2 linked regions of the Nothobranchius furzeri genome follow. The protein of the gene in region 2 interacts with the protein of the main gene of each other region in a biochemical or structural test. Links are inferred from orthologs where the notes say so. Each region holds a gene or a part of one and is shown on either strand. Other genes may lie near its edges.

Region 1 (6,095 bases), on a different chromosome or scaffold from region 2:
TGATGATAATGTTGGTATATCGTGCATCCCTACTTTAAATTAGTCTTTAATCATTTTAATTTTAGGGAAATTTTCAAACAAAAGCAAAATCTGCTTTGTGCTTCTGTGATATACATTTCCTTCTCCACAATGTATGTCACAAAAGGCTAAAGTGTAATTGTAGCCCTCAGATAACTTTCTATTTGAATGAATAATTAACAGCACCGATGCGGCAATTAGGATTTAAGAGCTAAAGGAAATAAACATCATTTAAGGTAGTGTATGTTCTTATTTTGTTTTCTGCATCTCTCTAGTATCTGCACAAGAGTCTCTGTACTTAGATCTCAACATGAATTAGAACAGGGCTTCCTACACTGGTATCTCACTGGGCTGCAACAGAGGCACAAAACTGCCAGACCATATCAGATTTTTAATTTGGAATCACAACAGTTGTTTGTATGGCACTTCTGCAAAAGGTTTTCTATGCTCAGGTCCCACGAGGCCCAACTACAAACAAATAACAACTTTGGTAACATTTAATTTATTTTTGATGTCAAACTTGCTTTGCAGAAGCATCCCAAACCCTCCCATCTTTGTTTCACTTTCAGACTGAGAAGCTGAATTAAAATGGTTCAAGTGAACTTTTTTAAGAGGATATTTTTCTTGATCAACATTTCAGTGACTCAAGCAGGAGGAGGTCGAGAGCCCTGGTGAAGATTTGATGCGTTTTGGGAACTCCCTCGTGTTTATTTGTTGCCCAGTGAGATTCTGGGAAGTTAAAAATCTCTTTAAAATAAGAGTAATTGAAACTCTTTGGTATTTTGAGGATGCTAGAATGTAAGTGGGAATGTTTGATTGGACTTTGTAGTGACGCTACTGACGCCCTTCCTGTTTGTGCTTTAGAAGGAGGAAGTGAAGCCAGTGGAGAAGGAGGTAAGAACCAGGGACAGTGGCTGTGCCTTCACTGTAGACCTCCCCCATGAAGACTACTACTTTCCATCAGTCGACCTGCTGACTGCACAGGTGCACACTCGGAGAGCCCAGACACCTTTTAACATCAGATTTTAGTCTTGTTTTATTCCACCGTTTAAGAAAGAATGTGCACCTCAGTTGGAGGCACACAGTTTAGCTATGCAGCACATGTAAGTGGTGCAGTTTCCCTCTCCAAACTGGTTGTCACAAGCCTTTTATTATATTTCTAAATTTCACAAATGTGGATAAAGTTGAGTTTTATTTCAAAACAAGCAGCCGCATGTTCTACTCCTCTTTGTTGCACTCAAAAGCTAGTGTTTGTGTTGTTTCTGACTTTCTTCCTGGCTCATGGTGGCATTCAGATCACCATGAGCAGGAACACGTCATTCTGTGTCCTAACACCATCTGTTGTTTTTAGCCCCACAGTCATGAACACGTGACTTTTAATGTTGTGTTTGCCCAACAGGTTCAGATTTTTGATCATGTGAGAAAAGACTGAAATCAATTGTCCAACCAGACTTGTCTTCAACACTCTTGATCCTTGAACTGTTCCTCCAGCTACAGATTTGCTAATTTTTTCAGTTTAATATTGGATTACTTCTTTTTCTATTGCAGTACTGTGAAAAATTAGTTTTACGTTTGAATATCAGATTAATATTAAGTGTCTCTTTTCTGTTTTATCATCTTAGGATCTACTGTCTTTTGAACTGCTGGACATTAATATTGTACAAGAGTTGGAAAAGGTTCCCAACAACACTCCTGTGGGTGAGTCACGCCTGATGCTTCAAACTTTAGTGGCATGAGATTTCACCTGAGCCGCTGGTTTATTATTATTATTATTATTTTTATTACTACCGTAATTTCCGGACAATAGAGCGCACCTCAATATAAACCGCACCGGGCTAAAAGCCGCAGATATCTACTGAATTGAAACGTAGTTTAACTGAACGTAACTGAACTGATCAGTAGCAAACAAAACAGAAAAGTTATTGATTAGTTTATTCATCGTCCTCCTGCGCACTGAAACCACTGAAGTCATCTTCATCAGTGTCGGAGTTGAACAGCCTCAGAAGAGCTTCGTCACATACCTTTTCTGTGGCGGTGTCAGTGTCGCTCTCCGTGTTGCTGTCATCATCCCGGGGTGAAGCTGGGAAAACAAGCAGCGCCGTTTTACTGTGAATAAAATCCTCCTGGGCGCTTTCCGTAGCACTCCTTCAACCATTCCTTCATTAGACTTTCCAGCATCCATCCTTTCTGGTTGACTAAAGCCGCACCTCATTATAAGCCGCGTGGTTCAAAGCGTGGGAAAAAGTAGCGGCTTATAGTCCGGAAAATACGGTATTATTATTATTTAGTTTGCTGCCTCCTTCCCTCTAAATCTCTTAAGAGCCAAATAGGAGAAGCTGGTGCTGTGCTTCATCTTTTCCAACGTTATTCTCACCTGTAGAGATCATTTTCACATGTTGGCACATAAAGCGAGTCGTGCTGGTGTTTATTTCTAGACTTGACTCCCTGCATATCGCCTCTTCCCCACGATGCACCGGTGTTGGAGAAGTCCGTTGTTACACCAATGAAAGAAGACCCCCCTGAGACCACGGGAGTCAGAAAACTTTTTGGTGAGTCTTGCAGCACAACTCAGGAGTGTTTCTTTGAATAGTTGAAATAAGATCCTTGAAGGGGAGCTGACCCCATTTCTTACCAAGATCATCTGAGAAAAAACTGATTTAAAATAGTTTTGGTCAAATGAATATAACGGGCAAAAGGTAAGTAAATTGTATTTATATAGATAGCACTTAACACAGACAGAGAATCATAAAGTGCTTCACATAGATTCAAACAAAGTCATAAAATCAAAATGATCTCAAAACAGAAATAGATTAACATAAGACAAAATAAAGTCATAAAATGTCATAAACAGATGAAAGATGATTTCAAATTTGAGTTAAAAATAGGAAAATAAAAAGATTTAGGTAAAAGCTGCTATAATAAAAGGGTCTGTTATTTTAAGTGTCCAGTATGTAAATCCTTGTAAGGATAAAGAAAGTTCATTCCAAAGTCAGGGTGCAACAATCTGGAAGCAGTGATCACCTCGACTTTTATATCTGGTCTTTGGAACTTCTAGAACACGTGTCAGACACAAGGCCACATCTGGCCCGCGGAGCATTTTTATGTGGCCCGCGAGAAAAATGTCAAAAATATATTAAAATTGACCCGCCGGCTGATTTTACCGCAAATACTACAACTCCCACGATGCTTTGAGGCATTAGCACAGAGACGAAGCGCCCCCTCCTTTGTGTTTTTTCCAGCGTCTGCTGCCGGTGTCTGCAGCTCCGCTGTCTCTGACAAACTAAACACTCCTCTCACTCAGCGCCGAGTTCACTCAGCTACTTGCCGACGTTGAAGCCCAGAAACGGAGATTTTAACTGCTCAGTAATGTGTTCACGACTGAAACAGAAAGTTTTCCAACTAACTTCCAGACAGAGCTGATCTAACTCCAGCGAGCAGCGACACGCTCAAACCAGCATGACTCTGTGGCTGCTGTCGTTTTTATTTTTCCTCCCCGACACACAACAACGTGGTCAAGCTGCTCAGTCTCCATGTTCATCAGCACAAACCTATGTGAGCACCTGTTGTCATCTAATGTTGTCATTATTATGATGAAGATGAACAAAGCAACAGGAGTCTCCTCCTCAGCTCAGATCAACCCCATGATGCAGGTATCTGGCTGGAACAGGTGAGCATCACAGTAAACCAGTGGAGCAAACTGAGCTTTACATATGTTGGTTTTATGCTCTTTTTCTGCTCCAAAACATGAAAGTTAACAGGTGACATATTGCATTTTCATTTAAGATAAAGTTATATTTTTATTTTGTTGTTGGCCCGTGAGAAAAGATTTAACCTACAGTAAACAGGAAGTGGAAAGGCTGCAGATAGAAGAATAGAATAGAAAATCCCTTTATTGTTCCTCAGTGGGGAAAGCTAGATGTCACAGCAGCGATGACACTTATTACAGGAGAAAAAAAGGAGAATAAAAATAAGAAAAATGAATAAACAAGAAAACATAAATCCTGAATAGATTTAAAAAATGTACCACAAGTAATGAATACCACTGATGCATTTTATTTAAAATTGACTTGCTCGTGTGTAATTTGGTTATTCCACATTCAGTGTTAATGCAAAAATAAGTTTGTTTCCAAATTAAAAGGTTCAAAATTGCATATATTTATGTTTATTTATTTGGCAGACGCTTTTATCCAAAACGACGTACAATTTTTTTAACCTATAGGGCATATGATCTGTAGGGGAAACCGGAGAACCCAGAGGAAACCCACACATGCATGGGAAGAACACGCAACTCCACGCAGAAAGGCTGCAACCAAGTTTCGAACCTGCAACCTTCGTGCTGCGAGGCAACAGTGCTAACAACTGTGCCACCATGCATATATGTTGATACGTAAAGAAAATGTGCAAATTTGCCATCACTTTTTCAAAAAATATTAAGTTTGGCCCGCGACTCCGTCCCAGATTTTCATTTCAGCCCAGTGTGAATTTGATTTTGACACCCATGTTCTAGAAGGTTCTGGCGGGTGGACCTGAGGGCTCTGGTTGGAGCATAAGGCTTTAACTGTTCAGTAATATAGGGAGGATTCTAAAACGAACTCTAAAGTTAATGGGCAACCAGTGCAGAGACATTAGAATAGGAGTGAAAAACACTATCAGCTCCCTTTCACACTGTTTTATCTGCAGATATGTGCTGGTGATGGGATATTAAAGTTGGGGCAGGTTTGAGGATTTGTTAAGTGAATGAATAAAGAGTAATTACTGTTTTACGTGTTAGTTTTTGTTCTGATAGGAAACTGAATCTGTGTCCTGCTTTATTTCTCTGAGGAGTGAAACTGAGGCAGCAGGAGGTGTTGGAGTCTGTGACCCAAGAGGACGAGAAGGAGGAGGAGATCAGCGGAGCTCAGTTCCTGTGTGAGACGGTCATCCGCTCCCTCACTCTGGAGGAAGCCCCCGACCACAGACCGCTACGCAGAGCCCAACATGGCAGCCACAAACAGAAAAGTGAGGCGCCATCATGACTCGGCCTTTGTGGCTAAAATATTCCATGTTTACATTTTCCATCTATTTGCAGGCGTGTCCCGCGACCCAAGCTTCTGTTCAGAGAAAACGGCTGATTCGGAGGACGCTGAGAAGGAAAAAGTGAGACAGGAGGAGATGAATGCCGATCGAGTTGAGAGTTTAGCGCCACCTATGAACAGAAGCCCCAGCCAAAACATGGAGGAAGAGGACGAACCCACGCCAGGTTAGCGAAGAGCGTACAGATCCACGGTGGGTCTGTGGTGGTTCTGCTCCACTGCATTTACATTCTGCTCATTTCTGCCAGTTGTTCTGCTGGAACCAGAGAAACAGAACCTGAACGCCGGTTTGCAGCACGACAACAAGGACAAAGAAGTTTTGCGTACGATGCAAAACATGAAGCCAACTAATGAGCAGAAGCAGGAGGGAGGAGCTAGAGGAGAAGACTGGGACGAGGTTAGTTTGCACCTTACAGGAAGCTCCCGAGAGTTCAGCTGTAACAAAAATAATGTTTGCATCTGCAGACAGATTCACATTTTTACAAATGACCTTTAAAGTAAGTGGATGAACACAAAGTACAATTTTGCTGAATCTTTCATAGATAGTAGCAGGACGTTTGGACCAAAGCTGAGAGGAGATCAGTTGGACTGAAGGGGGAGGAGGTGGTTATTTCCCAGTAATGAAACAGGCTTAACCTTTGTTGTCTCTTTGCAAAAAAACCGGAAAAGCAAGTGGTGTCACTTATTTACATTTCACTTTTCACAAAGCCAAGATACGACCCAGACAACTCCCATCATTTCTCAACATGAGACTGGTTTGAATATCTGGCATGAACGGCAGTAGGTGGAAAGCCTTCCTTCATGGAGTTGTAGACCTTTAGCATTTTTTAGGATTATATCGAATTTGTCAAAATAATAGATGTTTTTTGTTTGGGAAAAATTCAGTTAAGTGATTATGGGATGATGTTCTCAACTCATGAAAGACAGCATAGTCCTATAATAAAGTCCACGCCCCTGCTTGTGTTTCAGGTCAGCAGCCAGACGTCCTCGGTCTCCTCCGGCGAT
Region 2 (6,804 bases):
TCTTCACCAGCTCGCTCATGTTGACGTGATCCGGTACCAGGAACTTGGTTTTGTCCAAAACTGGCAGCTGTTTCTCACCCTTATACCGCTCGATGATCACCTGCACACATGAAACCACGACGTTTAACAGACTGTGCCTTGCAAGCCTGTTGGAGAGCTCTCAAATATCCTTGACCAAGCAGTGTTATGTTAAATTCACAGCCCCCCCCCCCCCCCCCCCCCCTTCAATCAGGGAAATAAAGTACAGAAAAATAATTTTACTTGCTGATAAAAAAGAAGCAGAAACTGCTTGGATGACCTGTTAGTGCCGTCAGCAACCGCAGCTTGCCCTCTGTGTCCAAATAATCCAGGGGACTGCCTTAGACTGGTTTAGGTCCTACTTCTGTGACCGCACCTTTAATGTTATGATGGGTAGTGCTGCCTCCCCCTCTGCGGCTTTGACTTGTGGTGTTCCCCAGGGCTCTATTCTTGGACCCCTTTTATTTAATTTATATATTTTGCCCCTGGGTGACATTTTTAAAAAACACCACATTGATTACCATTTTTATGCAGACGATTGCCAATTATATGCCTCTGTGAAGCCTAATGACTCCTTACTGCCCCTTGTTGAATGCTGTAATGATGTGAAGAGCTGGCTGTCAGAAAACTTTCTTTTGCTGAACGACGCTAAGACAGAGGCCATCATTTTCAGCCCTGGTACTTCTCAAAGTCCCCAACTGACCCTTCCATTTATCACAAGTGGGTTGAAAAACCGTGTCACAAACTTAGGGGTTGTGATGAACGCTAAACTAAAAATGGACATTCATGTCAACCAGGTAGTTAAGATCTGTTATTACCACCTGAGGCGTCTCTCTAAAGTTAAGCCCATTTTAAAAAGGCGTCATCTTCATTCAGTTGTCCATGCATTTATTACTTCCCGTCTCGACTACTCTAACTCAGTGCTATACGGTATCTCCTCCTCCACTCTCGCTCAACTTCAGCTTGTGCAGAACGCAGCAGCTCGTTTCTTGACTGGCACCAGGCAGCGGGAACACATCACACCGGTTTTAGCAAATCTTCATTGGCTCCCCATCCATCTCCGGATAGAGTTTAAGATCCTGGTTTTTGTGTTTAAATCCCTAAATAACTTAGCACCTGGCTACTTGTCTGAGCTCATTCACCCATATGTCCCTACAAGATCTCTCCGATCAGCTGACCAACACCTCCTACATGTCCCTAGCTCTCGCTGTAAGTCCCGCGGGGAGCGCGCCTTTTCAGTTTGTGCACCGAAGCTCTGGAACCACTTGCCCCTCCCGATCAGACTCTCTTCCTCTCTTTCCCTTTTTAAGTCTCGTTTAAAAACTCACTTTTATTCTCTGGCTTTTAATTCTGTCTAACTTATTCCCTTTCTACCTTTCCTTTTAGGGTTGGATTACTTGATTTTAATGGATTTAGTTTTTATTTTTGATTGTTTTTATTGTGTGTTTTGTTCAGCACTTTGGTCGGCTCTCATGCCGTGTTTAAATGTGCTATATAAATAAAATTGGTATGGTATGGTATGGTAAATAATCCGATGATTAAATGGTAAATAGCCTGTATCTGTATAGTGCCTTAGGGTTCTACAACCCCCCAAGGCGCTTCACAACACAGTCATTCACCCATTCATACGCTGGTGGTGATGAACTACATCGTAGCTAAAGCTGCCCTGGGGCGCACTGACAGAGGCGAGGCTGCTGAACACAGGCGCCACCGGTCCCTCCGACCACCTCCAGCAAGGCGAGTTAAGTGTGTTGCCCAAGGACACAATGACAGAATTCTCTGGTCTGAGCCGGGATTGAACCTGCAACCTTCCGATTACTGGACAACCCACTCTACCTCCTGAGCTGCTGCTGTCCCTTACATCCAAGCACAAACCCACAGAGGACACAGCTAAAGTTCAGAGTCAAAATGGCCGAACGTCCATTAACATGAGGCCTTTCCTAGAGCTAGCTTGTAGCTCTGGTGCTCAATAATTATTCATAATTTCAAGCATTTAATTACAGTCAAAGAGTTATAAAATAACTCACCCCCTCAGAGTTGTCATAAATGTTAGAAAGATCAGTCAAACCTAGAATGGCTTTTTGAACCAGGCTGTAAATGTGTTTATTTATGCTGTGAAACTGGCTTTTTTAACATGGGAGTCAAAGGGAACTTGCTCTGTTTTGGTACTAGCCCCTAGCGGATGAGGGTGGAACTGTAATTTTTGGTACTTCCATGCTGGAGCAAAGCCAGCGGCCTTGATCCCTTGGTACCGACGCACACTCAGAAGCATAAGCTCGGCTTAAATAGCGCCAGATACATGGCTATAACCAAGCAGCTGGCGGTCTCTGTTTTAGTTCAGATAGTCCTCGTGGGCATGAATGTTCCGTCTAAGAGAAGAGCAAAACACTTTGCTTCCCTTCTCAGTTATCCAGCATCAATTAACAGAGGCTGCCTGTGAGGTTCACTTGAATTAAAGAGAACTGAATCCACCTGAGCATAGTCGGTGGAACCGACAGATCCTTGAGTGCACAGATGCACTTTGTTAGGCAGGCATTTATCAGGAAGGCATCGATGTTCTAAACTCGCTTTGTGGACTACCCCCCAGGTTCGTGCGTGTGCAGCTTACAGGGATCTTGTTTGGGTGCTGCTCTCGGATCTGCTGGACCTCTTTGCATCGATCAGCTGTCGACAAAACAAATAGACAGCATGATGAGATTAGGAAGTTTACAGCAACAAGAGAAGATGTGTTTTGGATTGGTGGCCATATTGCAGCCATTTTGGATGGTAGGCTTTCGACTCCGTGTGTCACTGCAGATGGCTGCTTATGCTGATCCAGGATCCTCTGGAGGTTTCTTCCTGTGAAGTCTCTGACACAAGTCAGTGACTCGATGCAACCTGCTGGGTTACTTATATAGGAAACTTTTTACTGATTGCATTAATGAACTGAACTATTGGAATGTTTACTTTGAGAAGCGCCTTAAGAGGACTTGTCGGGATTTGGCGCTTTATAAATAAACGGAATTATAGATAGGGTGAGAAGCTCAGTCATCCGGGAGGAGCTCGGACTAGACCCGCCTCTCCTCCACATCGAGAGGAGCCGGTTGAAGTGGCCCGGGCTTCTAGTTGGGGTGCCTCCTGGACGCCTCCCTGGTGAGGTTATCCAGGCACATCCAACTGGGAGAAGACCTAAAGGAAGACCCAGGACACACTGAGGGGACTATGTTTCTCAGCTGGCCAGGGAACGCCTTGGGATTCCCCGGAGAAGCTGGCCCAAGTGGCTGGGGAGAGGGAAGTCTGGGCTCCCTGCTTAGGCTGCTGCCCCCCATGACCAGATTCCAGATAAACGGAAGAGGATGGATGAAACTCATTTCTAAATGAAACCATCATAACCACGTTCTGGACCTTAGCATGGGTGTCAAACTCTGGTCCTCAAGGCCCACTATCCCACATGTTTTAGTGTTTTCCCAGTTTCAACACACCTGATTTCAAGCTTGGGCCTCCCTGCTTAGACTACTGCCTCGCGACCTGATCCCGCGATATATTTGCATCAACCAAAATAATCGTGGTTATCATTTTCGCCATTGGCCGGATGGGTCTCTTCCTGATGACATCATCCTGTGGTTCCAGTCAGAGATGTTAGGGTGTTCCAGGTGAAACTCCAGTTTTAGAGCTTTCTATCAACCCGTTCCAGGTGTTCATCTACATAGTTCTCACCTTGCTTTGATATTCATGTTTCTGACACTGACAGCTGGTCCGTTCAGGTGAGCGGGTCACTGCCAGACTCCTCCCCTCCTGTCAGGTGACCGATTTAATCAGAGAATACGTGTAGGGGTCATGTTTCAGCACAACTTGTTGTTTTGGCCTCGCGGTGGGTCACGGAGCTGATCCGGTTGTGTAAAGGCTGCGGCGTCACATTGACCCCGTTTACCGTGAAGCTACAGACCGACCATCAACACATGTAAACACGTTAAATCCGGTGTGAACCTACGCATTGAAACGCACTAACGCTAGCTGTAGACAGCACCGTCTTACCGAACGTTCTCCGCTGCTTGAACGGTCGGTCCGACGGCATCCCGGCAGCGGCTTCAGGCGAAAGAAGGTGATGAAAACGGCCCTGGGAGGGTTTCAGATGGCTCGGTCTGAAGCTCCGCAGCAGCTCCGTACAAACAAAGCCAGTAATCTGACGCGCTGACGTCATCCGCTGCCTTATGGAGGTGAGTGAGGCAAGCCAAGTTGTCATTTAATATTCAGAAAAGTTATTCAGTTCCTGTCAGTAAAATTGAGGCCGTCTCTGGATCAGATCTCTGATTTTTATCTGATTTGGTGCTAAATACTGATAAGGTCATGGTAGTGGGGGATTTTAACATTCATGTGGACATTGAAAATGATAGCCTCAGTGTAGCCTTTAGTAATATACTGGTTTTACCCAAAGAATGCATAGCTCCACCCACTCCTGGCATCATACATTAAACCTTGTGCTGATTTATGGCATAGAGTGTGAGGAAAATAACGATATTTCCACATAATCCAGTCCTCTCGGACCACTTTTTGATCACCTTTGAGTTTTTTTATAACTGAGTTCTAGAGACATGAAAGTAAATTTCACTATAGTCTGTCTTTATCTGACAAGGCTGTTGCATCTTTTAAATCAATTATTCCATCTTTACTGTCCTCAGCATCTCAGAGGACTGTAGCAGAGGGCAATATTTTCATTTCTAGCCCCTCACAAATTGATGATTTAGTTCATAATGTTACTTCTTTACGTGTGGCATTAGATGATGTTGCCCCTTTAAAAAAGGTAATTAAGCACAGGAAGTTGGCTCCCTGGTTTAATTCTGATTTACAAACTTTAAAACAAAACTCTAGAAAATTGGAAAGAACATGGCGCTCTACAATTCAATTCAAGTTTATTTATAAAGCATCAAATCAGGACCAGAGTCGTCTCAAGGACCTTCACACAGTAAACATTCCAATACAGGTCAGGTCATTAAGCCAATCAGTAAAAAGTTTCCTATTTAAGGAACCCAGCAGGTTGCATCGAGTCACCTCATACTAAGAATGCAGCGACAGTGCAGAGAAAAACTCCCTTTTAACAGGAATTTTGTGTTTCTTAGTAAACATTCTATTTGGTGAGATAAACTTTATTGTATTTATCCTAGTGAATCTATAATTAATCTGGTAAACTAGGAGTAGCACATTCAATGTCAAAGAGAGTAAAATGTTATTGTCAGGAGAGGGAGAAGTGGTTAGCAGCAGTGTGCTAGCCAATGGCCCCCTCCATGAGGCCACTACAGCTCAGCAGAACATCATTGTAGCTTCTTCTGGGGAGGAAAACACTTAAGAGTAAAAATAAAGTTAACAGCTGAAATAGCAGGAAATAATGCAGTTAAAGAGCAGATTGTAGAAGAAAGTAGTAGAGTGTGGAAAGTGGTCAGTATGTCCTCCAGCATTCTAAGCCTATAGCAGCATATCTACAGAGATAACTCTGGATAACCTAGCCTAGTCTTAAAAGTAGAGACGGTGTCTGCCTCACGGACTAAAGCTGGGAGCTGGTTCCACAAGAGAGGAGCCTGATAGCTAAAATATCTGCCTCCCATCCTATTTTTAGATATTCTGGGAACCACCAGTAAACCTGCACTCTGAGAGCAAAGTACTCGGTTAGGAACGTATGGAACAATCAGATCACTAATGTATGATGGAGCTTTATTATTAAGAGCTTTATGTGTGAGAAGGAGGATCTTAAAGGCTATTCTGAATTTAACAGATAGCCAATGTAGGAAAGCTAGGACAGGAGAGATATGATCTCTCTTTTTAATTCTCATCAGAACTCTAGCTGCAGCATTTTGGACAAGCTGAAGATTTTTAACTACATTCTGTGGACTTCCCGAGAGTTATGAATTACAGTAATCCAGTCTTGATGTAATAAATGCATGAACTAGTTTTTCAGTATCACTACTGGAAAGGATGCTTCTAATCTTAGCAATATTCCGAAGGTGGAAAACGGAAATCCTACAAACCTGTTTAACGTGGGATTTGAATGACATGTCCTGGTCGAAGATAACACCAAGGTACCTTACTTTGTTCTCGGAGACTATTTTAATGCCGTTCAGGTCAGGTGATTGATTAAGCAGTTTCCTTTTCTGAATTTCGGGTCCAAAGATTAGAACTTCTATCTTGTCTTGATTTAAAAGCAGAAAGTTTTGAGTCATCCAACTTTTTATGCCATCAAGACAAGCCTGTAATCTAACTAACTGATTAGGTTCATCAGGGTTAATGGATAGATATAACTGAGTAACGTCAGCATAACAGTGGAAGTTTATCACATGCTCTCTGTGTGTGTCCACAGCAGGTGACATGGTGGTGGGTGGTGTTGTCACTGGCCTGTGGTTAGCCCTGCCCCACTGGTAAACCTCGGAGGTTTTTACCAGGGCATTAAAGTCAGTCCTAAACTGATTTAGGTCATTTTTAATGGGTATTATTCCAATTTCTGTTGTAATAAATGGTTTTAACAATCTGAAGCCACAACTACTTGGGCAAAAACGAACCCAAGTGCCTTACAGTCATTTCAAACTAAGTCCTTGGGTGAAATTCCCAAGGTGGCGTTGCTGGTTTTGGATAAAACGTCAGTCGATTTTTATGCCACACATACATTTGCAGTGGTCTCTAGAAGCTTCAGATGGCAGCATCTGGAGTCTTTTCCTGATATGTGGACATCTCTCCTCTGATTGGCTAACAGCAACACAACTCTACCACTGACTCTGTTTACTATGCAATGTTGATCTCTACAAATAACACAAGCCTGGA

Evidence for each region. The genes of interacting proteins can lie anywhere in the genome.
Region 1: the proteins of microtubule-associated proteins 1A/1B light chain 3A (region 2) and nbr1a form a complex in vitro, tested with the Homo sapiens proteins (2 studies listed by BioGRID and IntAct). The link is inferred for Nothobranchius furzeri from reciprocal best matches to the Homo sapiens genes MAP1LC3A and NBR1.

What each region holds. Positions count from the first base shown.
Region 1 is NC_091756.1:48,483,777-48,489,871, forward strand, and holds part of nbr1a (NBR1 autophagy cargo receptor a), read left to right. Parts: intron 1-882; coding exon 883-1,002; intron 1,003-1,640; coding exon 1,641-1,716; intron 1,717-2,453; coding exon 2,454-2,567; intron 2,568-4,839; coding exon 4,840-5,016; intron 5,017-5,086; coding exon 5,087-5,257; intron 5,258-5,338; coding exon 5,339-5,487; intron 5,488-6,059; coding exon 6,060-6,095. UniProt on the Homo sapiens protein: Ubiquitin-binding autophagy adapter that participates in different processes including host defense or intracellular homeostasis.
Region 2 is NC_091743.1:78,249,262-78,256,065, forward strand, and holds the start of microtubule-associated proteins 1A/1B light chain 3A, read right to left. Parts: upstream 4,202-6,804; 5' UTR 4,199-4,201; coding exon 4,033-4,198; intron 2,683-4,032; coding exon 2,627-2,682; intron 101-2,626; coding exon 1-100. UniProt on the Homo sapiens protein: Ubiquitin-like modifier involved in formation of autophagosomal vacuoles (autophagosomes). While LC3s are involved in elongation of the phagophore membrane, the GABARAP/GATE-16 subfamily is essential for a later stage in autophagosome maturation.